Mytilus edulis: one gene and its partner. The protein of the gene in region 1 purifies or fractionates together with the protein of each later gene. This does not show direct contact. Links are inferred from orthologs where the notes say so. Each region holds a gene or a part of one and is shown on either strand. Other genes may lie near its edges.

The links.
Region 2: the proteins of ribonucleases P/MRP protein subunit POP1-like (region 1) and ribonuclease P protein subunit p20-like purify together in Homo sapiens (affinity purification with mass spectrometry; 3 studies listed by BioGRID and IntAct, with this or other methods). This does not show direct contact. The link is inferred for Mytilus edulis from reciprocal best matches to the Homo sapiens genes POP1 and POP7.

The regions. Positions count from the first base shown.
Region 1 is NC_092344.1:124,480,768-124,492,568, reverse strand, and holds the start of ribonucleases P/MRP protein subunit POP1-like, read left to right. Parts: upstream 1-6,553; 5' UTR 6,554-6,696; coding exon 6,697-6,699; intron 6,700-11,801. Other genes in the region: 2-iminobutanoate/2-iminopropanoate deaminase-like, read right to left, coding at 2,048-2,153, 6,238-6,302. UniProt on the Homo sapiens protein: Component of ribonuclease P, a ribonucleoprotein complex that generates mature tRNA molecules by cleaving their 5'-ends. Also a component of the MRP ribonuclease complex, which cleaves pre-rRNA sequences.
Region 2 is NC_092346.1:9,582,158-9,594,650, forward strand, and holds ribonuclease P protein subunit p20-like, read right to left. Parts: upstream 5,891-12,493; 5' UTR 5,815-5,890; coding exon 5,786-5,814; intron 1,894-5,785; coding exon 1,476-1,893; 3' UTR 1,459-1,475; downstream 1-1,458. Other genes in the region: protein ARV1-like, read left to right, coding at 6,104-6,184, 10,727-10,846. UniProt on the Homo sapiens protein: Component of ribonuclease P, a ribonucleoprotein complex that generates mature tRNA molecules by cleaving their 5'-ends. Also a component of the MRP ribonuclease complex, which cleaves pre-rRNA sequences.

The DNA of each region.
Region 1 (11,801 bases):
GTCTTAAGGTAATAAGCATTGTGTATAAGTTTCATAACATTTTATTAAGGCAAACTCATTTTAAGAGAATGGAAACAAAAAATTTTGAAATTTATCCATTTGTAAAGGAGCAAAACTCTAGAAAGGCAAAAGTGACACCACCAAAATTCAAACCTGATCTGTGTTTTATGGTAATTAGTATTGTGTATAAGTTTCCTAACATTTGGTTGAGGCAAACTTAAGTTTTAGAGTGGAAACCAATTAAGGGATGTATGAAGGAACAGACCTACATACGGACGTACATACGACCATTGGTAAAACTTAATGCCCCCTCCACAACAGCAGGGCATAAATTTGTAATTTTTTTTGGAAGCTTTTACTAAACCACGAAAATGAGGTCAAGGACAATGGTCATATGATAGACCAAACTCCAAAAATTGAAACATAATGAATCAGAATACCAGGTATGAAGCATCCAGGTCTTCTACCTCCTGAAAAATAAAGCTTTAAATAGACAAGTAAGTTACAGTACACTGTTGTCACCACTGAATGTTATCCCTATGTTTTGCAAGGCGAGAAAAAACCTTCATGAAATAAAACATACTATGCTTGACAGTATGTCTACATAAAACCGTTTAAACTAATTTGAAACTGTCTTGTTCATAGGACTGTTCCCTTTAAAATTCAAACCAGACACTGAAGTTACCAGTCATATGAGGATAATATGTACCAATAGTCCAGTACCAGTCTATATTTTACGCTCCATATTTCACAGAACCTTGTGAAATAGAGTTCCATTAACTACGTAAGTTACTCGCAATCAATATATACCTGACCATAATCATAAATGTTTCAAAAAGGTATAACAAATTTGCCATTACTTATCAATGAAAGGGAGGTAATTATGAGCAATTTATATTTTAAAGATATTAAAATATTATATAATTCCTGAATCTTTTTCATAGTGAAATTATGATCTATAAACAACTCACTTTTACCCTTATTTCACTAACCTTATTTTATATATATTAAATAAATCATGATATTATTTCACAATTAAGATCTTTTAAATTACTTCTGGTTTTCTTTCATATGTTTCATGTTAATTTTTAAATCTTTTTAAAAGAATGATATTTACTTTAATATTTCAGGATATTATTTTCAATTATAATCTGTGAAATTATTTCCCATTATAATACATTTTTTTACCAACTTAAAAGCATAACTTCAAATACACTATTATTATTTCAAAGTATTTGTAAAGATTAAGTTTTTTTTAATAACTACTCAATAGTTTAACAACCCAGATAGAATTTCACGGCAAAGGAAAAAAATATAATAGCAAAAAATTTTCCTCCAGATAAAATAATGACAACAATTACTATGACATTTTTTCCACCGGATCAAATTTAACCAGGATACAGTTTTGCTTTACACATACCTGCTCTGTCTCTGGCACAAATCTGACGGACACAAGGACATGGTCCCTTCTACTGGTAACCTTGTATCTGGTGGTGTTGTACCAGAGACAGAACAGCTAGCAATGGCTAGTATGTGTAAAGCAAGAACATGGTTCCTTCTACTGGTAACCTTGTGTCTGGTGGTGTTGTACCAGAGACAGAACAGGTATGTACATGGATCCTTCTACTGGTAACCTTATGTCCGCCTGTTCTGTCTCTGGTACAACAACACTGATACAAGGTTACCAGTAGAAGCAAGGATTTGTATACTATACAAATCCTTGGTAGAAGGGACCATGTTCTTGCTTTACACATACCTGTTCTGTCTCTGGTACAACACCACCAGATACAAGGTTACCAGTAGAAGGGACCATGTTCTTGCTTTACACATACCTGTTCTGTCTCTGGCACAACACCACAAGATACAAGGTTATCAGTAGAAATGATCATGTTCATACATGTACATACCTGTTCTGTCTCTGGCACAACACCATCAGATACAAGGTTACCAGTAAAAGGGACCATGTTTATACATGTACATACCTGTTCTGTCTCAGACACAACACCACCAGATACAAGGTTACCAGTAGAAGGGATCATATACATACCTGTTCTGTCTCTGGCACAACACCACCGGATACAAGGTTACCAGTAGAAGGATCCATTCCTATTTGCCCAGAGAGGTACATAGTATTTTCAACCAGCACAGCCTGACTTTAAACAATAAAAGATATTTCAAAATAAAATAGTATGCATCAGAACAGTATTATGCACTGAGAAAGTTCTAATTAAAATATATTTTTTTTATACAAATTAATTGTAAGAATTTCACTACAAAGAACAGAAAGTAAAAAGAGTTTTTTTTCTTTGAATAAAGGAATGAATCCATTCCCTTTTCAAAATGAGAACAAGCCCAAAATTATATATTTGTGTTTCATGCCTCTGTGTATAAACTAATTTCTCATGAAAAAAGAGATCATTTCAGCTTCCCAACTTCCCAATTGTGAACATTCCATTCCTATGTATTAACATTCCAGCAGCGCCTGCATACAGAGTATATATCTCCAAATTGATATGATATTCCCTGGCCCAGGGAATATCTTATCAATTGAGAGATATATACTCTGTTTAGTGGCTTGTATTTCCTATCATGATTTCCTTGAAAGAGGATTGCTGCTCACAAGGAAGCTATTAGTTAAACCAAGTGTTCCAAATGGTGAAGTTGAAATCATCCCTTCGTAAATTTTACAGATGCCATCAAGAGTTGGTTGACCATTATGGAATAACCTTTTCACAGATGATATCGAATATGTTCCTTATGTTGTAATGACAATACCCCTCCCTTTTCATGAATGTGACTTCTTACCGATTTAGACTATTTAACAGATTTGTAATAACATAAGCAACACTATGGGTGCCACATGTGGAGCAGGATCTGCTTACCCTACTGGAGTACCTGAGATGACCCCAGTTTTTGGTGGGGTTCGTGTTGCTTAGTCTTCAGTTTGCTTTGTTGTGTCTTCTGTACTATTATTTGTCTGTTTGTCCTTTTATTTTTAGCCATGGCATTGTCATTTTATTTTTAGCCATGGCGTTGTCATTTTATTTTCAATCTATGAGGTTGACTGTCCCTCTGGTATCTTTCTATCCTCTTTTAAACTCTTATATAATTTAAGTCTTGAGAATTTTGATTAAGCACCTATAAAGGGGCTATCAGATTCCTGTTCACTGATATGACTCAAATTCTGCCATTTGATTTTTAACAAATAAAAACTTATATCCAATTTAAAAAAAGTCTATAATAATCAATTTACAATGCATGGGCTCAATAATATATGTATCAGTATTTCTTGTGCATTTTTGTCTACACTCCATCTACTGAACAATTGATATGTTCTAAGAAGACTGCATATGGTCGACAATATATTATTAACGTGATCAGAGGCGGGTTTAGGGCCCCCCCTTTTTGGGAAAAAATTTGGTTGCTTATATAGGAATCACTGAAGCGTGACTGGAGTGGGCCCCCTCTTAGGTCAGTCAGTGGGCCCCCACTTATGAAAATTTCTGGATCCACCACTGGTGATATATATAAAAAGATAGCAATCATGTCCAATCACATTGTTCTAGGTTAGTTTGATTCCATATTATGTCATGTACAAATGTATATCTTATTATCGCTATAACCTAGCCGTCTAAGAACGATTATTGTGGATCAAAGAAACCTAATAGGACTCATTGTAATTCCCTTTTATCATATATTTGCAGCTCTTGATCGAACCAATACATCAAAGTTATCATTAAGTATGGTTTTCATATAGATAAAAGGACAAGAAGGTTCACTTTCGGTCAATAATGGCCATGATTTTCAACTTGAAAGTATTTTTTTAAAGTGGCCATAATTTGGTTCTTAAATGGATCTATCTTTAAAAAAAGCCTGGCTTCCTTGACTTCCATGTTAGAACAAATCTCTTCATAAGAGTATATTCTTGGCTTCAAAATCATCACCTTTTAGATATAATGTCAAAAAGCTATGGTTTTGTGCATTTTTTCAGACTTAAAAAGCTTGAGGAAACCTATGGCCACAACCTAGAATCTATAATATTCTGTAACCAAAATTTGCTAATGATGAGATTGGTTACCTAGACATAGAAAAGTTCTGGATCATGGGTGGTGCCCAAAGTGTATAAATGCAAAAAAATATTAAGATTTATCTAAGATTTGACCAAATCTAACATTGCAACACAATAAATGTATACTGATTATGATGAAAGTATTTCATGTAAATAGTAATATCACAACTACATCTATGTGAAATTTGTAGTATTTTGGCTGGCTTAAAAAAACATCACAAACTTAAGGCTAATTCGAACACATTTAACCCTGATTCTTGAACTTAATCCTTTATATTTAGTAATTCTAATTTCTAGTTTATCTAATAACATAATGAATAAGGGAGATAATGCAAATTAAAAACTTAATACATAAATCTCTTTTAACACAAAATAAAATAGGCAAATTGTCAAACATTTTCATGTCATATATAGTCCAGTCAATCTAGATAGCATAAATTTGACCCTGACCTGAAAGTAATTGCAACAGATGATTTTTAAGTTTAATCTTTAGCATTATACCACAAAAATACACTGAAATAAGTCCCATTTAATCTTACTTGAGGAGGACTAAAAAAATCACCATTTAAAATTTGTCATTTGGAGATTTGCATTGAAAAGGGAGATACATGTAACTATTGCAAAACAGGCAGAAATAATCCAATATCAATAAAAATTGATACAAAATTATAACTTTACCGCTTCTATTCATCAGAATGCATTGATTCTTGATTTTTTAGCGGTCTTTAGAGTATAAAAAACAACTCCAAAGAGGTTTTAATATCTTTTATCAAGCTATAATCTAGATTTCGTAGTTCATATTATGGACTATTAATTAAATTTTTCAACCTGTCAAGATAAAGAATCTCAATTTTAATAAAAATAATTAAGCATGTATTCTTCTTTTTGTGGTTTAAAGTCTCTTTAGAAAAGTAAAATACTGAAAAAATATAATATATAGATATAAACAATACCAAATTTTCACATTATATTTTTAAAATGGTCACAAAGCTTCAAATTTGCGATTTCTTTAATGAAAAATGCTCAAAAAAAATTGAACTACCCATAACACTTCGCTTTTGTACATCTCATGAGCAGAGGATTATATGATTTAGTCAAATACAAACTTATAACCCCATCAATGTATCATACTTTACATAAATTTCAGGAAAAGCAACCAAAAACTGACCAAAAAAGACTCATGTTTGTTGAGTTATCTCCCCTTCCAATGTTAATTTCCATAGAAAATTAAAAATGCTTATTTTTTTCCCCCCTCAAGTTAGATTTAATGGGACTTTTTTTCTGTGTATATTAAGGGCATAATGCTATAGATTAGAACTAAAACATTTTCTGTTGCAAATTAGTTTGAGGTTAAATCTTAATTTGATCAGTTGATATTATACCACGACTCGGTCACTTTTTAAAGACTCTGAGACCACTTACTTTACAGCATCACTAGATGAAATGGACTCCTATGAATCATTGATTACCATGATTACAGACCAAATAATGTAGAAAAAAAAAAATTAAAAAAAAGATTACAGGACTAAAGGGTTTGTATTCAATCATTGGCTTTTAGGGAGCTACCATTTTATTTTTATGGTGGGGGTGGGGGGTTGGCTAGGATGAAAAATTATGTCCTGCATTTTTTTTAGCTTTAATCTCTGTCCTGCCTTTTTATTTTTCACTCTGTTCGAACCTGCCTTTTTTTTTACCTAAATTGTTGTCCTGACTTTTTTTCTTTTGCAAGTGTCTCATCCTGCCATTTTCTTTACTCAAAACTCCTGACCTGCCTATTTTTTTCAAATTTCATCCATTTTGGGGCCCTTTATAGCTTGTTGTTCGGTGTGAGCCAAGGCTCCGTGTTGAAGGCCGTACTTTAACCTATAATGGTTTACTTTTTAAATTGTTATGTGGATGGAGAGTTGTCTCATTGGCACTCACACCACATCTTCCTATATGATATATCTATTAACAAGAATGTGTTTACTTTTAAGTTAAACTTCCACCTGGAATTCAGTAACTTAATAACAAGGATACTCAGACCAACAATGTTATCAGAGTAACTTGTGAAAACAGCAAATTATAATATTTAATAAAAGTATAAAGGTTAATAAGTAAAATTGCTCAGCCTCAGGTGACCAAAGGTGCACATTGAGGTTTTTCAAATATTCAGCAAAGAGAATCACCTGTATGGTCCAATAGCAGCTGGAGCCTTTACTGTCTTTATTATCTTTCTTACAATTCCTGCCATATTTCAATGTGTTTGGTCAGCTCAGTTTAATTGTTTGTCCTTGTCATATGGGAGGTAATCCAGGAATAAAACGGTTCTTATGAAGCGCGATCCTGAGCATTGATCTGTTATTTATTTAAGTTCATGCCACATGTTTACATTTGGTTTTGTAAACTAAGATTTTTTTTATAATAATGGTTTTCATTTTCTGGTCATAGCATATGTTTTAAACGATGACATTATATCTTTGGTGGTGAAATAATATATCATTTATTCCGGAAGTGAATCGTCTGTCGTGTACAATAAAATGTCTGCGCCCATTAGAAACATGTACAAAAAGATGTAAGCGGATTAAAGTTGGTCAAATATAGTGAATTAGATTTGTCAAGCAGAAAACAATACTCTTTACAGGACCATGGTATGATTTAACATGTTTGTTTTATGTATTTTAAGGAAAAATACCTCAAATATAGTAGATAGTTACTGGTATTAGGTCCGTTCGCGCCCAATACAATACAATTCCTCACAAAAGACTTCTCTACAAACTAAAACATTATGGCATTGATGACAACACCTTAAAATGGATAGAAGATTTTCTCACATCTCGGACACAAACAGTGATCATTGATGGTGTTCAGTGAAGACAAAATAAACGTAACATCTGGTGTTCCCCAAGGAACAGTTTTGGGTCCGATCCTTTTCCTTGTATACATAAATGACTTTAACGAATACATCAAACACAGTACCCTCAGATTATTTGCAGATGATAGCATAATTTATAAAACAATACGAAAGAAAGAAGACACACAAAAACTGCAAGAAGATCTCACATCAGCTGCAAAATGGGAGAAGGACTGGCTCATGTCATTCCATCCAGACAAGTGCTCAGTCCTTCAGATAACAACTAAGAAAACCCCATTAAATTTTGACTATACTCTCCACCAACATGTACTTCAAAAAGAAACATCCACAAAATATCTTGGAATAACTATACAAACTGATCTCAAATGGAACAAACATGTAAACAATATCACAGCTGCAGCCACACAAAAGCTGAACTTTATTAAAAGAAATCTAAAAGTCAACTCAAAAACAGTCAAAGAAAAAGCATACATTGCACTAGTAAGACCAAAGCTAGAATACAGCAGCTGCGTCTGGGACTCGCACACCAAATCTCAAACACACCAACTTGAGATGGTCCAGCGCAGAGCAGCAAGGTACACCTGCAACAGATACCATAACACCAGCTCAGTCACTGAAATGCTACAAACCGCATCATTTTCCTCTACAAAATTATACATCATCTTGTTGCCATATATCCGACAGACCTACTTACACAATCTGATACAAGAACACGACAACATTCACATATTTACTCTTTCAGACCCATACAAACCACTAAAGACTCATACAAGTACTCATTCTACCCTAGAACAATCTTGCAATGGAACCTTCTCCCAGTAGCTGCAGTTCAATGTACTACTCTTGAAAGCTTCCAAGAACAGATTCCAATATCTGTTCTCAATAAACATTTAAATAAATTCCACAATGTATATAGTTTTAACCAAAATGTATAGTACAAAAACAGAAGAAAAAGAAGTTATAAATGTTGAAATTTTTATTTTTATTTTTGTATTTTTTCACTGTAAATAAAATTTATATCCACGCACGCGTGGCATAGTAAAATCAGTGCCCGGCACGTTATCATCAGTATGTTGATGGAGTGCTGAATTATAAAGAAGAAGAAGAAGAATACACTTTCGCACCCTTCATGTTCGCACCTCGCGGGGTGCACGTTCGCTCTCTACATGTTCGCGCCCAATTTTAATTCAAATTCCAGTTGAATTAGAATATAGGGGTAAAATGCAGTTTTTGGCTTATAACTCAAAAAACAAAGCATTTAGAGCAAATCTAAATTGTTTATCAGGTCAAGATCTATCTGCCCTGAAATTTTCAGATGAATCTGACAATGCGTTGTTTATAGGTTGTTGCCCCTGAATTGTTTATTTTTATGAATTTTTGCTGTTTAAGAGATAATTGTATTGTATTTGAAGCTTTAAGGACGTCCATCGGTAGTTTTATTGTCGCAAATTTAGTTTACCTGGCGACGCTGAGCGGAGACAGGTAAACTCGTATTTGCGACAGTAAAACTACCAATGGACGCCCGAAAAGCTTCAAATACAATACAGTTATCTCTATTCTAATGCAAAACAAGTTTATAATTAAATTTCAATCATTATTTCAGTGTAAAATCTTCATAAAAGAAAATTCCGTGAAAAAATGTTATCTTTTTTGGTCCCTACACTAGGGGACGTCATAGGTATGCTTCCGGCGTCAAACATAAACACCAGGCTTTTTCTGGCTTTTGTGCCGCTTCAGAATGTAATAAAATTTGTTAAAAAGAAGATGTTTAGGCGCAATAAGTGAGTTTTTATGCAGTTAAGCTGCATTATGCGAGCACCCTAGATTTGTGTTCTACCCAATAAATGCTGAAATACTTGCCATTGTTATTATCTAGCTCGCTACTATGTTATATATAACTAATTGAACACATTTTTAATACTTTTTATTCTGGATTACAAAAAATATGACAAGAAAAACCTTGAATGATCGTCGATTTATCCAAAAGTTTTAAAGTTACACATAGGAAGTAGTGCTTATTAAGAATCCTTGTGTAGTTCATTATGACTTGTGCTTTTAGCTAAGATGTCAAAGAACAATTGTATGAAATATTTAATCGCCGAAAATCTCTTAAGACAAGTAGTTTAGATTTTCCAAATGACAAAAGTCGTAGGAATATTGTTTGTCATCAATACGTAGTACAACTACGTCAGTAGTCTATTATATAATAAGTTCAACTGTTCATGCTGTTGGCGGCAATTTCAAATTAGAAAAAGAAATTTTTCGTAGCTTTTCAATTTGGAGGCAAGACTAGTGTGCAAATTATCGGTGGTCCGAGGTCCGCGACCTTCCACTTTTGCAAGCGGAATTTCGAATAGGATAGTTGGTTTCTAGCTACGCCCGACGTAGTCACCTTCCACTTGAAAGAAAACAAGAAATTACTTTGCAAACCTTTTCACCATGTTCACCAAAGTCTCCAATTAAACGAGCTAAAAACTTATTTTTATCATTATTAGTCATGACAGCGATGTTCATTTTGTTCAACCGCTAGCTTTATGCAGAAAATCTCCGACAAATATTGTATAAATTCGAGTAAAATCCTATCTGATTGACACAAACAACATTGTAAACACATACCAATGGCGGCCGTGAAGACCAAATTTTAATATCGGATCCGATTCCGGAAGCGGATAAGGGTAATTCCGGGTTTGGCGATCATTTACAAAATAAATCCAAGCAGGTGAAACAACACATCTATGCATGGTAAATTAATGAATATAAACACTAGAATTGTAAACCAAAAGATATATGTAAAAGAAAGAAAAATCAGAAAAATATTTTATTCAGAAACTCAAAATTACTTTTTGACAAATTTTTAATTTAAAAATCCAATACAAAGTGACAGCTGGGAACAGTATATCTAACAATATACATGTTCATGGTCACAGTCTAAATTTTCTTTATAAATGATAAATGATAATGCATGTGAGATGCTTTTAAAGTGTTAACATATTACTGCAATTTCGAAGGGTTATTTGTTTTTCTCAATTTTGAAGGGTCAATTAAAGTAGCTGAAAGTTTCTTTCTTTATTTTCACAAATAATGCAACTATATTATATATACCTTAATGTAAGTAAATCATATGATATATAGGTGGCATTCTTTGAGCCACTCTACCCCCTCCTGTTTGATAACTTGGAAACGGTCGAGCTCCCCACCCCTAAACCATATGAGGGGCAGATCCAGGATTTTAGGTTAGGAGAGGCGCAAACTTAAATGTTTGCCGAGCAGAGCGAGGCTAAAAAAATTTGAGGTAAGAACTATTAAGCTAAGAACAACCCATGCTTTGCAAATTTAAGGGGTGGGCAAGCCCACAACCCTCCCCCCGTCTGAATCAACCCCTGCATATATTCAAGTATAGGACAATATAATAAATAAAAAATGAAATATAGGGGAAGTCCCTGGAGTTACCTCACCCCCTCCTGTTTGAGAACTTGGAAACGGTCGAGATCCACACTCCTTAACCATATATATTCATGTTTGTGACAATATGAAAAATCAAATGAAATATAGGAAGAGTCGCTGGGGGTCACCCCACCCCTCCTGTTTTTTAGAATTTAAAAATGGTCGAGATCCCCACTCCTAAACCATATATATTCATGTATGGGACAATATAACAAATCAGATGAAATATAGGGGGAGTCCCTTGGGTCACCCCACCCCCTCCTGTTTGAGAATTTGAAACCCGTTGAGATCGCCACCCCTTAACCATATATATTCATGTACGGGACAATATAACAATTCAAATGAAAGATAGGGGGAGTACCTGAGGTCACTGTTCACCCTCCTGTTTGAGAACTTGGAAATGGTCAAGATCCTTACCCCTAAACCATATATACTCATGTATGGGACAATATAAAAAATCGAATGAACTATAGGGGAAGTCCCTGTGGTCACCCCAACCCTCCTGTTTGAGAACTTGGAAACGGTCGAGATCCCCACACCAAAACAATATATATTCATGTATGGGCCAATATAACTAATTAAATGAAATATAGGGGGAGTCCCTGGGGTCACCCTACCCCTCCTGTTTGAGAACTTGGAAACCAATGAGATCCCAACCCCTAAACCATACAGTGTATATATTCATGTATGGGACAATATAACAAATAAAATGAAATGTAGGGGAAGTCTCTAGGGTCACCCTACCCCCAGTGGCGGATCCAGAAATTTTCATAAGTGGGGCCCACTGACCGACCTAAGTGGGGCCCGTTCCAGTGGTTCCCTATATAAGCAACCAATTTTTTTCCCAAAAAAGGGGGGTGGGGCTGCCCCCCTGCCCCCCCTAAATCCTCTGCCTACTTTGAGAACTTGAAAACCGTTGAGATCCCCACCCCTAAATTATATATATTCATATGTATGGGACAAAATAACAAATCATTTACATTTACTATGGGCAGGTCAGTCAGACCTCACCTTTGATCCCTGTTGTAGTGAACATTTGTCTGATTCGTGTCTCATAACTTTTGTACTATAGAACACAAACTCAGTTTTCTTTCCAGGGAAACCAGTCCATTCATACTATTACATGTTCATACTAAGTCAAATTGAACTTCTAGCAGTCAAATAAAACCAAGGTTAACTACCAAGTAGAACAACTGCAATCATTGGGAACTTGTACCACTGCAGACTCACCATAAAAAATATACATTGATATATGCATTGCTTTTGAAACCTTGATAACATGTAAATTATTTGCCTTACTAAATAAATCATTAGATAAACATGAATGTACTATATATGAATGTTTAATGTTGAGGCAACATTGCCACAGTTTTCATAATTACGGTTGCCTTGGTTTTTGGTTAACTGCCTTCAGCGCTTACAGCGCTTTGATTT
Region 2 (12,493 bases), on another chromosome or scaffold:
TTTATATGTTACTTTTCTACATTGGCTATAGGGGGAGGGTTGAGATCTCATAAACATGTTATGTGTTGAAGGCTGTACTTTAACCTATAATGGTTTACTTTTTAAATTGTTATTTGGATGGAGAGTTGTCTCATTGGAACTCACACCACATCTTCCTTTATCTATTAACCCCGCCGCATTTTTGCGCCTGTCCCAAGTCAGGAGCCTCTGGCCTTTGTTAGTCTTGTATTATTTTAAATTTTAGTTTCTTGTGTACAATTTGGAGTTTAGTATGGCGTTCATTAACACTGAACTAGTATATATTAAATATATTATTTGTTTAGGGGCAAGCTGAAGGACGCCTCCGGGTGTGGGAATTTCTCGCTACATTGAAGACCTGTTGGTGACCTTCTGTTGTTGTTTTTTCTATGATCAGGTTGTTGTCTTTTTGACACATTCCCCATTTCCATTCTCAATTTTGATTGATAATTTTGTCTATGATGCATGATTTTTCTTTTAGTTGTTAGTGGCTTTGAACTAGCTGTCAGTAACTTGGAGTACTCACACATCAGTACTTAGTGTATTTTTGTAATTGTATCCATCTGATGAGTAAAGCCCTTTTCGACTAATTTTTATAGTTTGTTCTTACATGTATATGTTGTATAGTTACACCACTGCTTGTATGTGTGCCTGTCCCAAGTCAGGAGCCTGTAATTCAGAGTTTTTTTTTGTATATCTATTACATATTTGTTTTTTGTTTAAATTTTGTACATAAATTTGGGCGTTATTTTTCTCGTTTGAATTGTTTTACATTGTCATTTCGGGGTCTTTTATAGCTGACTATGGTATGGGCTTTCCTTATTGTTGAAAGCCATACAGTGACATATAGTTGTTAATTTCTGTGTCTTTTGGTCTCTTGTGGAGAGTTGTCTTAATGGCAATCATACCAAGTATTCTTTTTTGTTCACACTGATGAAAACTATTTGGAAGGTGAAGAGTTCTATCGATTTTTATGTCAACAGGTCAAAGGTTAATGTCACTGTTACTAAAAATAGAAATTTCTTGAAAATATGAATTCTTAATGAGAGCTTTCATATACATGTTTTACTCTTTATACTTGTTTGTATACTGGATAAACAATATCTGAGCAAGGAACAAGCCATTCAAAATTTAAAGGGGATCCAGATCCTCTTTAGTCCTTTTTTTAGAATGAAAGTGGACTTCCTAAATTTGGAAAAATAGATAAATTATGCAACATTTTTTTTTATTATTGTCAACAATGCATTTGAAAGCTACATGTACAAGAAGGGTTGATAGCACATACTTTTGATAATAACTTGGGTTTTTCTATTCATGAACTAGAACTTTGAAAGCTGAAATTGACAAATGGATTGGGTGTTTAGCTCTGATTTATTTAATCATTCTTGCTTTTGACTTGTATTGTGAGATCTATAAACTAGCAATTAAATGAATTAAAAAGAGGATTTATTAATTTATTATTTCAACTGTATTTGTTCAGGTTCCACAGAAGTCCCAGTAACTTTGAACACTTTTATATGAACTGCTGAATTATTTCTAATGAAAATTTCTGGTTCATGTTCATCTGTTTCAGGTTCTAAGTCATCCACAAGTTCCACTGTGGAGGTCTGTGTTTCTGTTTCCACATTTCCTATAGAAGATTTTTTCACTTCTAATGCAAGATTAACTGCCCGGTTTATAGCTGCACCTAAGCCATGAATATACACCTCATTTCCAGAATTCATTAGTTTATGACATCTCTCAAGCTGTTGTTTGAAATTAGTTCTTCTTGACACATAAACATCATTTTTTCTCTTTGGTAGTTTTCTTGGCAATCTTTTACGAAGAGAAAATTCCTCTTTATCTATTAAATCTTTTATTTCTGCAAATTTACTCCTAAAATAATAAAAATGTAAGAAACTTGATAAGAACATGCATCAAAAATTGTTTGCAATATAAAGACTACCGGTTTTTTTATGTGAAATAACTACTACACATCACACACTATATTTCTTAGAGTGTGACATTACGCCTTGTTAACCTTTTTGAAACCCCATATGAACCGCATACAATCGCTAATCCCAGCTGCTCTGGCCGCTTGAACTTTTGACGCATACAACAGTCACTTTTCCATTGTGGCATCAGATATTTTGTTTTATGACGTCAAAATTTTACAGGAACCTGTGTGATATCCAGTAATGGCAGACAAATAGCGATAAGGTGTATTTTATGTACTTGAGCACTTATTTCCTACATTTGTATCATAAAATTGTCCTGAAGACACCACTGTAAGTACTGAAACATGTACAATGTAGACCAGAATAAAGCATTGCATTGCAGTAATCTCGGATGTTGTTGTCTTTTTATAGTTTTATAATTATATGTCTGTTAATCATGTTAATACATTTTTGTTATTGATGAATAAATATAAAGTAATAAGTTAAATATTAAGGGGAGATAACTCAAATGAATAAATATTTTATCAAGGAATGTACAGTATATGTTTCCATTAGTAATAAAGAAAGACAAAATAGCAGTGACACTATGTTTACTAACATTTTACAAAAAAAAAGATTGGAATCTTTTGGACAGTTTACTTTTATCAAAAGAGAAAAAGAGAGTACACATTTTTACGAATCCGGGTCCGTTCGCGCCCATTCACGTTCGCACCCACTCATGTTCGCCCCCTTTCACTTTCGCACCCTACATGTTCGCGCCCAATTTTAATTGGTTTTGTGTTTAACAACTTTGTAATCAAGTTTTGGCAAGTGTATTCTCATAAGTATAATTGTTTTCATTGTCTCAAAATAAAGTGAGACAGCATTTTTTTTTGTATTGAATAAATCTTAATCATGTTTCGGAAAGTGTATTGTTAAAAAAAATAATAATACTTTCTAAATAAAGTCATGAGTGGGATTCTGTCAAAGTTTTATTTTGTGTTGAATAACTCTTAATCATGTTTTGGTTAGTGTATTCACCGTGTAGAACGCCACATGCGGGGTGTCGGCTATGTTTGACATGGGGTGGCAATTTTGAAGCGACGAAAAAGTAACAAGGTAAGTTCAAGCATCAAAATTTCTTATTTTTAGAACTCTCAGTATCATATAATATATTGCACGGAAGGAACAGCAACAAAATCTATTTCCTGAAAGCAGAAGCAGTCGTTTTCAGTGCTCAGTTTTCTCAAACACCTCGCCCTACTTTTCCGTGTTGCAGATTTTGAGGCTTTATATGCCAATTTCGGTATAAAAACTACTTTACACAGCTACCCTCCGTACCATGTATATAGAATTGTATTCCTCTCATTGACTTATACCAAATACCAGTTTCTTAGTTAAAATCAATTGGTTTTAAAACTGTTATTCATCAAAATATAAAGTGTCGCTCGGGGTGTCAGATTTTGCGTCGAAAGGGGTAGAGGCTTGTCATAAAAAATACATATTTGTATGTAAATTAGCCTTCATATGATACATTTTATTTCAAACACATCTACTTTACCATGACAAAATAGGATTTTTCATTTTGCCTGTTTTTCGTCTTATAAAAGATATGATTTGATTTCATTCACATCTACTTTACCATGACAAAATAAGGGTTTTTCATTTTGCCTGTTTTTGGTCTTATAAAACATGTGCTTTTGATTTCATTCATAGTAAAAAATGACTCAACATATTTAGTTTCCAAGCTGGTAAACGATTTCTTTTCCTTTTCAGTCACTATCATGGTAAAAAAAGGCAAGGCTATGGCTCAATAAACCAAAACATGGTGGAAAATCACAAAATAGTCCTTAATATAAGAAGCCTCCACCAGCAAAAATGCATCATAGTTCATCACCAGGTTCATCTAAAAAGCACTCATGCACGCCGCCAAAAACCATCACTCCTAAAAGAATTAGAACACTTTCTCCAATGAAACACTCACCGGCATCTTTTTCAGCGAATGACAACACAACTTCAAGTAATCCTGAAGACGATGATACTACAATTGTCAATGAGAAAACAACGACTTATACACAAATATACAACGGAACAGGTTTACAAGAAAATATGATTCAAGACAGTTATTTCGTTCATAATCGCCCAGCTAGAACTACATACCTTAAGTTTGTAATTTGTCATCATAACAGTGTAGGTGTGTTTGAATTAAAAAGTATCAGATAGAGATCGATTTATAAGAAAATGTATTCTTTTTTATGACAAGCCTCTACCCCTTGCGACACAAAATCTGACACCCCGAGCGACACTTTATATTTTGATGAATAACAGTTTTAAAACCAATTAATTTTAACCAAGAAACTGGTATTTGGTATAAATCAAAGAGACGAATACAATTCTATATAAATGATATGGAGGTTAGCTGTGTAAAGTAGTTTTTTATACCGAAATTGGCAAATAAAGCCTCAAATCTGCAACCCGGAAAACTAGGGCGAGGTGTTTGAGAAAACTAAGCACTGAAAACGACTGCTTCTGCTTTCAGGAAATAGATTATGTTGCGGTTCCTTCCGTGCAATACATTATATGGTACTGAGAGTTCTAAAAATAAGAAATTTTGATGCTTGAACTTACCTTGTTTAATTTGTTACTTTTTCGTCGCTTCAAAATTGCCACCCCATGTCAAACATAGCCGACACCCCGCATGTGGCAATCTACACGGTGGTATTGCTATAACTTTGTTTCACTGACTTGATTCAAAATAAAGTGAGATTCTGACTAGGTTTTTTTTTGTTTTTGTGTGTTGTATAAATTTTATCATGTTTTGGTTATAATTCGTGTATTGCTATATTTTATTGTTTCATTGTTTCAGATCAAAGGGACCAAGCTGTTAAAAACAATTATCTTTTGTGTTTTTCGTTTAAAATCTTCAATGTTTTACTGAGGGGGGATAGGAAGGGTCTTGATCCCGAAATCCCGGACTTGAAAAAACGAAATCCCGAGGTCCCGAACTTAAATAAAGCAAATCCTGAAATCCCGAAATCCGAAAAAAAGGATTCCCGGATCCCGAAATCCCGAGCTTAAAAACACCCGATTCAGAGTCCCGATAAAGGTCCTATCCCCCCTCTTTACTCATATCAAGCTATAAATACATTCAGTATTTACACCAAAGCAATTTAAAACAACAATCATGATTTTCCAATTATTCGACTGGAATTTTGTATTAAAATTGGGCGCGAACGTGTAGAGTGCGAACGGACATTGGGTGCGAACGTGCGAGGTGCGAACGTGTAGGGTGCGAAAGTGTATTGGGCGCGAACGGACCTGATACCCATTTTTACAATCAATGGATTACATACACCTTATCGCTATTTGTCTGCCATTGCTGGAAATCATACAGGTTCCCGTAAAATTTTGACGTCATAAAACAAAATGTCTGACGCCACAATGGAAAAGTGATTGTTGTTGACGTCAAAAGTTCAAGCGGACGGGTCAGCCGGGAATACACCTTATCGCTATTCCCGGCTGACCCGTCCGCTTGAACTTTTGACGTCAACAACAATCACTTTTCCATTGTGGCGTCAGACATTTTGTTTTATGACGTCAAAATTTTACGGGAACCTGTGTGATTTCCAGCAATGGCGGACAAATAGCGATAAGGTGTATAGCGATAAGGTGTATTGATGCTGGGAACAGTATATCTATATATATGTTCCTGATTGATGGAATACATCCTAACATTCTGCCTATTTCTGGCTGCATGATCACCTCAAAAAATGCAGTGCCTTATTAAACTTATCTGTTATTAACTAATGATTAATCGACTGTTTTGTTAACGACATAACAGTCTTACTTACTTTGGCTTTGCTTCTTCTTCAGAAATCATTTTTGTTTTTAAAGAACCGGATATACCAAAACAATTGTAAAAAATTAATTAAATCGGAAAAGAACCGTTGAAAAAACGGGTTAAATAGGATTGCATGAACATGGAATATGTATAAAGTTGTCACTGTATGTTGAGATAATGCATATTTCATCGTATAGATATTGATAACCAATTAATGTTATATGTATTTTTATTGAATGCGATTCGTGAACAATAAAAATACGGATATTCGGACTGTCCATACAACTATCGTTTATTATTTTACTAATGTAAACATCCGCTATAAACAATGAAATGCATCAACTGCGGAACAAAGTGTAATAGTCTTTATAGACATTACTCTAAAGATATAATACAACTGGAACACTGCGTAAGTAATATTTCATATTTAGAAAGACAATATATGACACATAGCATACCCCAAACATTGAATGCATCACATAATGAACTTCGTTTTGTTGCAACACAATTTCACATGTCTTCTTCTTTTTCAACTCTATACTAAAGTGTAATAAACTCGGGCGCATCTCAAAATGACAGGAGGACAGGCAAAACTTGATGGTATTTACAATGAAATATTAATCTTAATTACATCTATGTACACATGTTATCCTGCTGTCTACAATTAATGTATTTCAGATGTGGCTGGGTCCAGGGGGTGGTATTCACTCTGGACCCGAATTCCTCTAGTGATCCGGACTCCACTATATATTGGGGGAGTTAATTCCATTCTCTAGTTGTTCTTGGGAAGAATGAGTGGGAGTAGTTTGTCTACATTAGTGGTTGTCCCTTGTCCTACTATCCCTTGTTGTGCAGTATTTGGCTGGATCAATGGCAATCAACTGGTGTTGGTTCTTGTTATACAACACGAGGCTCTGTTTCCGTCGTCTGTGCAGCAGTGATTCCCATTGAAGTTGGTCCAGTAGCTTAGTAACATATTCAGGAGAGTTGTCCTGGTAGCAACTATAAACAAAGCGAGCTGCTGGTCTGTGTTCCCATTCTTCCAGCGAGATTTAAATAGGTCTTTTTGCAGCAAGTCTGCATCCTCTGTTTTCCTAATGCAGCGGAAGAGTAGATCTACAGTCATCAGCTTACAGTCGAGCACTTGATGTTGGTGCTTCTGGGAGGTCGTTGATATAGACCAGAAAGAGGAAGGGACCCATCTAAGTGTCCTGGGGTATTCCAGATATCACGTAAAGAGGGTCCGACTTGTGGTTTTCGAGAATGACAGACTGAGTTCTGTTGGACAGAAACTGTTTTATCCATTGAATCTGGAAACCTCTTACTCCGTAGTAATCCATTTTATGAAGTAGTCTGGCATGTGGCACCTTATCAAAGGCCTTAGCGAAGTTTATCAGGATGATGTCTGTCTGGTCGCCGTCCTCCATGTTCTTAGCTATTTCGTGTATAGTTATTACCAGCTGGAATTCGCATAATCGTTTGGTTCTAAACCCATGTTGTTCGTTGCAAAGTATGGTGTTTTGTTCATAGTGGTCCATGATAGAACTGTGGATTATGTGCTCTAGCACCTTACATGTGATGGATGTCAAGGACTCTGGACGGTAATTTGCTGCTGTGTTTTTTTTTACCTTTCTTAAAGACTGGGACTATGTTGGTTGACCTCCAATCTTCTGGTACTGATCCCTGGTCCATTGACAGTTGGTATAGTCTTGTCAGGTAAGATGATAGTTGATCAGGAGTATTCTTGAGAATGAAGGCTGGTATGTCAATCAGTCATCTGGGCCAATTACCTTAAACGGTCTTAGTCCTCTAAGTAGTCTAGTGACACCATTCCGACTGATTTTTATTGGTCTCGTGGTTGGATGTGGGCTTGGCCCTTTATCTGGCATGTTGTTTAGGTCTTCTTGGGTGTATATTGAATGGAATTGGTTGTTTAGTATAGCAGCTTTTGTTGGTGTGTCGCTATGTAGTATCCATCTTTATTTTTAGAATTGTTATACCTGAAGATTCCTGTTTCCTACTCTTTATGTATGACCAAAATCTTTTTGGGTTCTTGTTTAAATCTCCACAGACTATATTTTGCATGCATTTTGTATGTGCTCGTCTAGACGCTCGTTGAAGTTCAGCTCTGATGTTTTTATACCGTTTGACTTTCCAGTCCTTTGGTGAGTTGTTGTGTTTTGCCTTGGAGTTAGCTCTTGGTTTCTGTTTGCTCAATTGTCTCAGTTGGGTATTCACCCAAGGGTGGCTCTGTCTAGCAATTGATATTTGACATTTGCTGATATGTCCACTAATACTATGTCATGATAGCTATTTCCTATAGTATGGGTGGCAGTGTTTTAAATCTCTCTCTCAGGGGTGGCTTGTAAACATCTGGTCTAGTATTTTCTTTCCTCTTGTATTGTTGTTATTTATTTGCTGGATTGACAAATCAGCTGACATCTGTCACTTCGAAAAAAACGAAAGCCGTAAAGAAGTTTCCGCCATGTTGTTGAAGATTAATATGCACGAGCAAATGATGATCAATGATAGATGGACTATGCTAATCAAGTATATATAGAGAGTGCATTTTTAGATTGACAGATAATTGAACTACTTTACATTCCTGTCATCTCTAACAACTACCCAAAACTAATACAATAAGAGAGAGAACAAAAAAAAAAGCAAGAAGCAAAATAAGTGTATCAACGCTACAATCATTAAATGTTAAATTTCTAGATGAGTATTCGTCAAGCTCACACGACTTTTTGAACTATGACCGTGACCTCATACGTTCAAAACCAAACTGTAACACTAAGACCTTCTGGTCTTTTAGCAAGTAGCACAATCGCACATTGCAGGAGTCCAAGAAGGCCTCACATATGTACAAAGCGAACAAATCACAAACACAAACATCCTTCAAGTCTGTATTCCCAAGAGAAGGACAAGGGACCAAGCACATTTCCACATATGGCTCAATTACATTAGTGTACACGCTTCTCAAAAATCTTTATAAACCACACAAAGCTGAAGGACCCGACTAAGTACCAGCTATTTTTTTGAAGGAGCTGCCCAGTGTTTTATCTAATACACCAGACTTCAATCAACCTTTACACGGTTCTAGACATCTGGATAGTAAGACAAGTTAGACATGTCTTAAAAATGGAAACAAGAGCAAAGCTGCTATCAACATGCCGGTTTCATTGACTTTCATGTTCCAATATTGTTGTTGGGCATATTCTACATTCTACCATAAATAAACTCATCATAGAAACCAGAAATGAAATTTGTGTTTGCGCCAGATGATCGTTTCGTCTACAAATGCATCATCAGTGACAACACTTACAAAAAAATCCCTTATTGATGCTCAGAATAGATTCTTGAGTAGACGTTTTAGTGAAACATAGCTTATCGCAACCATCCAAGACTTTGCAAAAGACGTTCAATATATATAAGTTATCAAAGGTACCAGGAAAAGTCCAGGATTATAATTTAGTACGCCAGACGCGCGTTTCGTCTACATAAGACTCACCAGTGACGCTCATATCAAAACATTTATAAACCAAACAAGTACAAAGGTTGAAGAGCATTGAGGATCCAAAATTCCAAAAAGTTGTACCAAATACGGCTAAGGTAATCTATGCCTGGGATAAGAAAATCCTTAGTTTTTCGAAAAATTCAAAGTTTTGTTTCATAAAAATTACCACTTTATTGATATTCATGTCAACACCGAAGTGTTGACTACTGGGCTGGTGATACCCTCGGGGACGAAACGTCCACCAGCAGTGGCATCGACCCAGTGGTGTAAATAGGTATCAAAGGTACCAGGATTATAATTTAGTACGCCAGACGCGCGTTTCGTCTACATAAGACAGATGCCGTAATACTTGATTTTAGGAAAACCTCCGTCAAGTTACCACATCAAAGATTGTTCCTCTCAAGTTCCAAAACTGTAGAATCAGCTGTTCAGTCCTGAAATGATATGGTAACTTCATACGCAGAAGAAGGCGACATGTCCAAGTAGAGGGAGCATGTCAACGTCATATGACCCTATTATTTCTTACTTTTAAAAATGATTCTCAAATTTCTGACTTTTTAATTAATGAACTAACTGAAATTTGGGTTCTTTTTTTAAACAGTTTGATGATGACTGTTTGATCCCCAAGAACATAGAAACAAAGTTAATATCCGACACGAACATCCAACCAGAACCATGGGAAAAGTGGCGGTAATCTGGCAAATGATTTCTATCCACATAGCGATAAAGGGTATATGCGCGTAGTATAATCAATACCATATACATCCTTATGGCCACACAATAGAGACATGCAATGTTAGCAAATACTGTTGACAATCAGCCAAGATCTATCATGATACACTCGCATTGATTAGACAACAGCCAAGGCTTCAAGAACAGTTTGGTTCTTCAGACTATCAAAAGGACCTTTCAAGAGCGAGTAAATCCCTGGCAAATATCAATGAAGGGCGGACAGTGTTTTAGTATACATGTAAGCCTCAGTAGCAATTCTCAATTTATGAGAATTTTTAAAAACATAGTTCCTCAATGAAATAAACATAATAGTTATTGAAGAACTGCTTATTATCGTGAAACATAGACTACCCGTAGGTCAGTCCATGTATCACGATAATGACCAGTTTTTCAATGACTTATGTAAACAAATAACATTAAGTTAACGGTACCAATTTCACTGCACAAGCTGCGGATTTCGACAATAAACGACTCTTCAGTGATACTGTGGACAAAAAATCCGAACTGTTTGAAAAGTAGAAGAGCTTATCATACAAAAAGGACATAATAAAGTGTAGCCAAATTGTGGCAATGGACCAAGAGGTTTGCACGAGTGAGATCAAAAAAAGTAATTTACGCATTTCCAAGCCAAAATTACGTATTTTATGAAAATGAAAATGCAAATGGAATTATTTTATATATATACGCATTTTTAAATTTTAGATCCATTGTAAAGAACTTGTAGACAAATATATAGAGTTTGACCCAGTCATTATCTGTCTTGATGCTTTACTGTTGAAGAGAGAGGCATTTCAGCATGTTCTCAGCAATAACTCAACCCAGGTAAGTTACTAAACAACACCTAAAACTTCATTGTTGATTCTGATTAAAGCTGTTTAAGCTAAAACAGATCTTCCATATCATATATAAGAAGGACATATTTGAAGCAAATGACCAATAAAATCATCAGAGATACTAGGATTGGAATTTTATATTTGCACCAGACGCGCGTTAGACCATGTTATTTTTGTCTGCTTGTGTTTCTGATTTTGCTTACATCTCATTTTACTTCAAAGTTATACTTTAATTTAAATATATCATATCGACAAATATTTAAACAGATTATTCTGTATGTCTGGCACATCTTGGTGTCATAGTGGTAGTATGCTTGCTTCGAGTTCGGGTGATCATTTGTTTGGTCTCTGAACGAATCAGTGACTTGATAACTATTGAAACTACAAGGGTTGACTAGTTAATAAAGATAGGGTAACATGGAATCCTCGAATCCGAAAGTAAACCCCATGATCAAGAGGGGCGTTTGTTTAGCTTTTCGAGATGTATGATTATGAAGCCACCTCCCTTCTTAATGCTTCTTATTAGGAAAGTGTCGTGATTGTTGCATGTTAATTAATCCTTGCAACATCTCATGGAGGGGACGTATTGGGCCTTTAGCAAGTTAAAATGTCTGTCTTTCACCGCGGTCGAAACACTTGGCAGAGCTTAGCTATTTTTGTTGTTTTTAAATCATTGTTCAAATTTGTTGAAATTTTTATATTTTTGCAAAAGGGACAAAGTAAATACTTTGTCAAAATGTTAAGAAAATTAAACGAGCCAAATTAATTTTAGTTAAAGTGTTGGGTACCACCTTAAGGTCCAGTGTCATAATGTATTGCGTAATCAGGACGAAAACAAGTTAACAAAAATAAAATAGTTCACAAGGGAGATAGTAACGATATAATGATAATTAAAGATGACATTTTTAGTGACTGCTTGTAATCCTTTGTTCATTTTTGTTGAGCCATGTCTTTTTGACAAGGTTATAACACAATTTTGACTGCTATATGTATACCACAATTTTTTATGTTAAAATTAAAATGTCTCTTTGTTTTGTTCACACGTCGTTGTCAATAAAATGGTGAGGGGTTTAGCTAGCTATTAAATAAGGTTTCATCTATCATTTTCGACATAAGAAAATGCTTGGTTTTTTTTCAGAGTTCGGTATTTTTGTTATTTTATCTTTTGCTTAGTTTCTTCTTTAACCATTTTAACATCGGATTCGAATTTCATCCAAACTGTGTGTTTGTTAATTCCATAATGGCTAAAGGATATAAGAGGGAACGAAATCTCACACAAATGTTCAACTCTTCTACATGTTTTCGCATTTTGCATTTTTCTTGCTGTGCTGAATACCCATTGGTGGCCTTTTGGGTCAGGTTGTGGTCTTTTTGTCAAATTCCCTTATTCCCTTCTCTCTAATGATAGGTGGGTTTAAGACTGACTAGGATGCAGGGCTAAAAATTGCACATAAATAGAAAAAAAGTTGGTAGTGGCCAAAAAATGGTTCCTTATAAGTGAACTTTCTTAGCTTAAAGAAACCTGACAAAAACTCTTGAAAAATGAGGCAGAGTTGAACATGGCACTTTTCCTACGCGAAGCGTCTAATTTAGCCTTCTTTCTGAACGTTCGTGATGAAATGATTGGTTTCGGTAA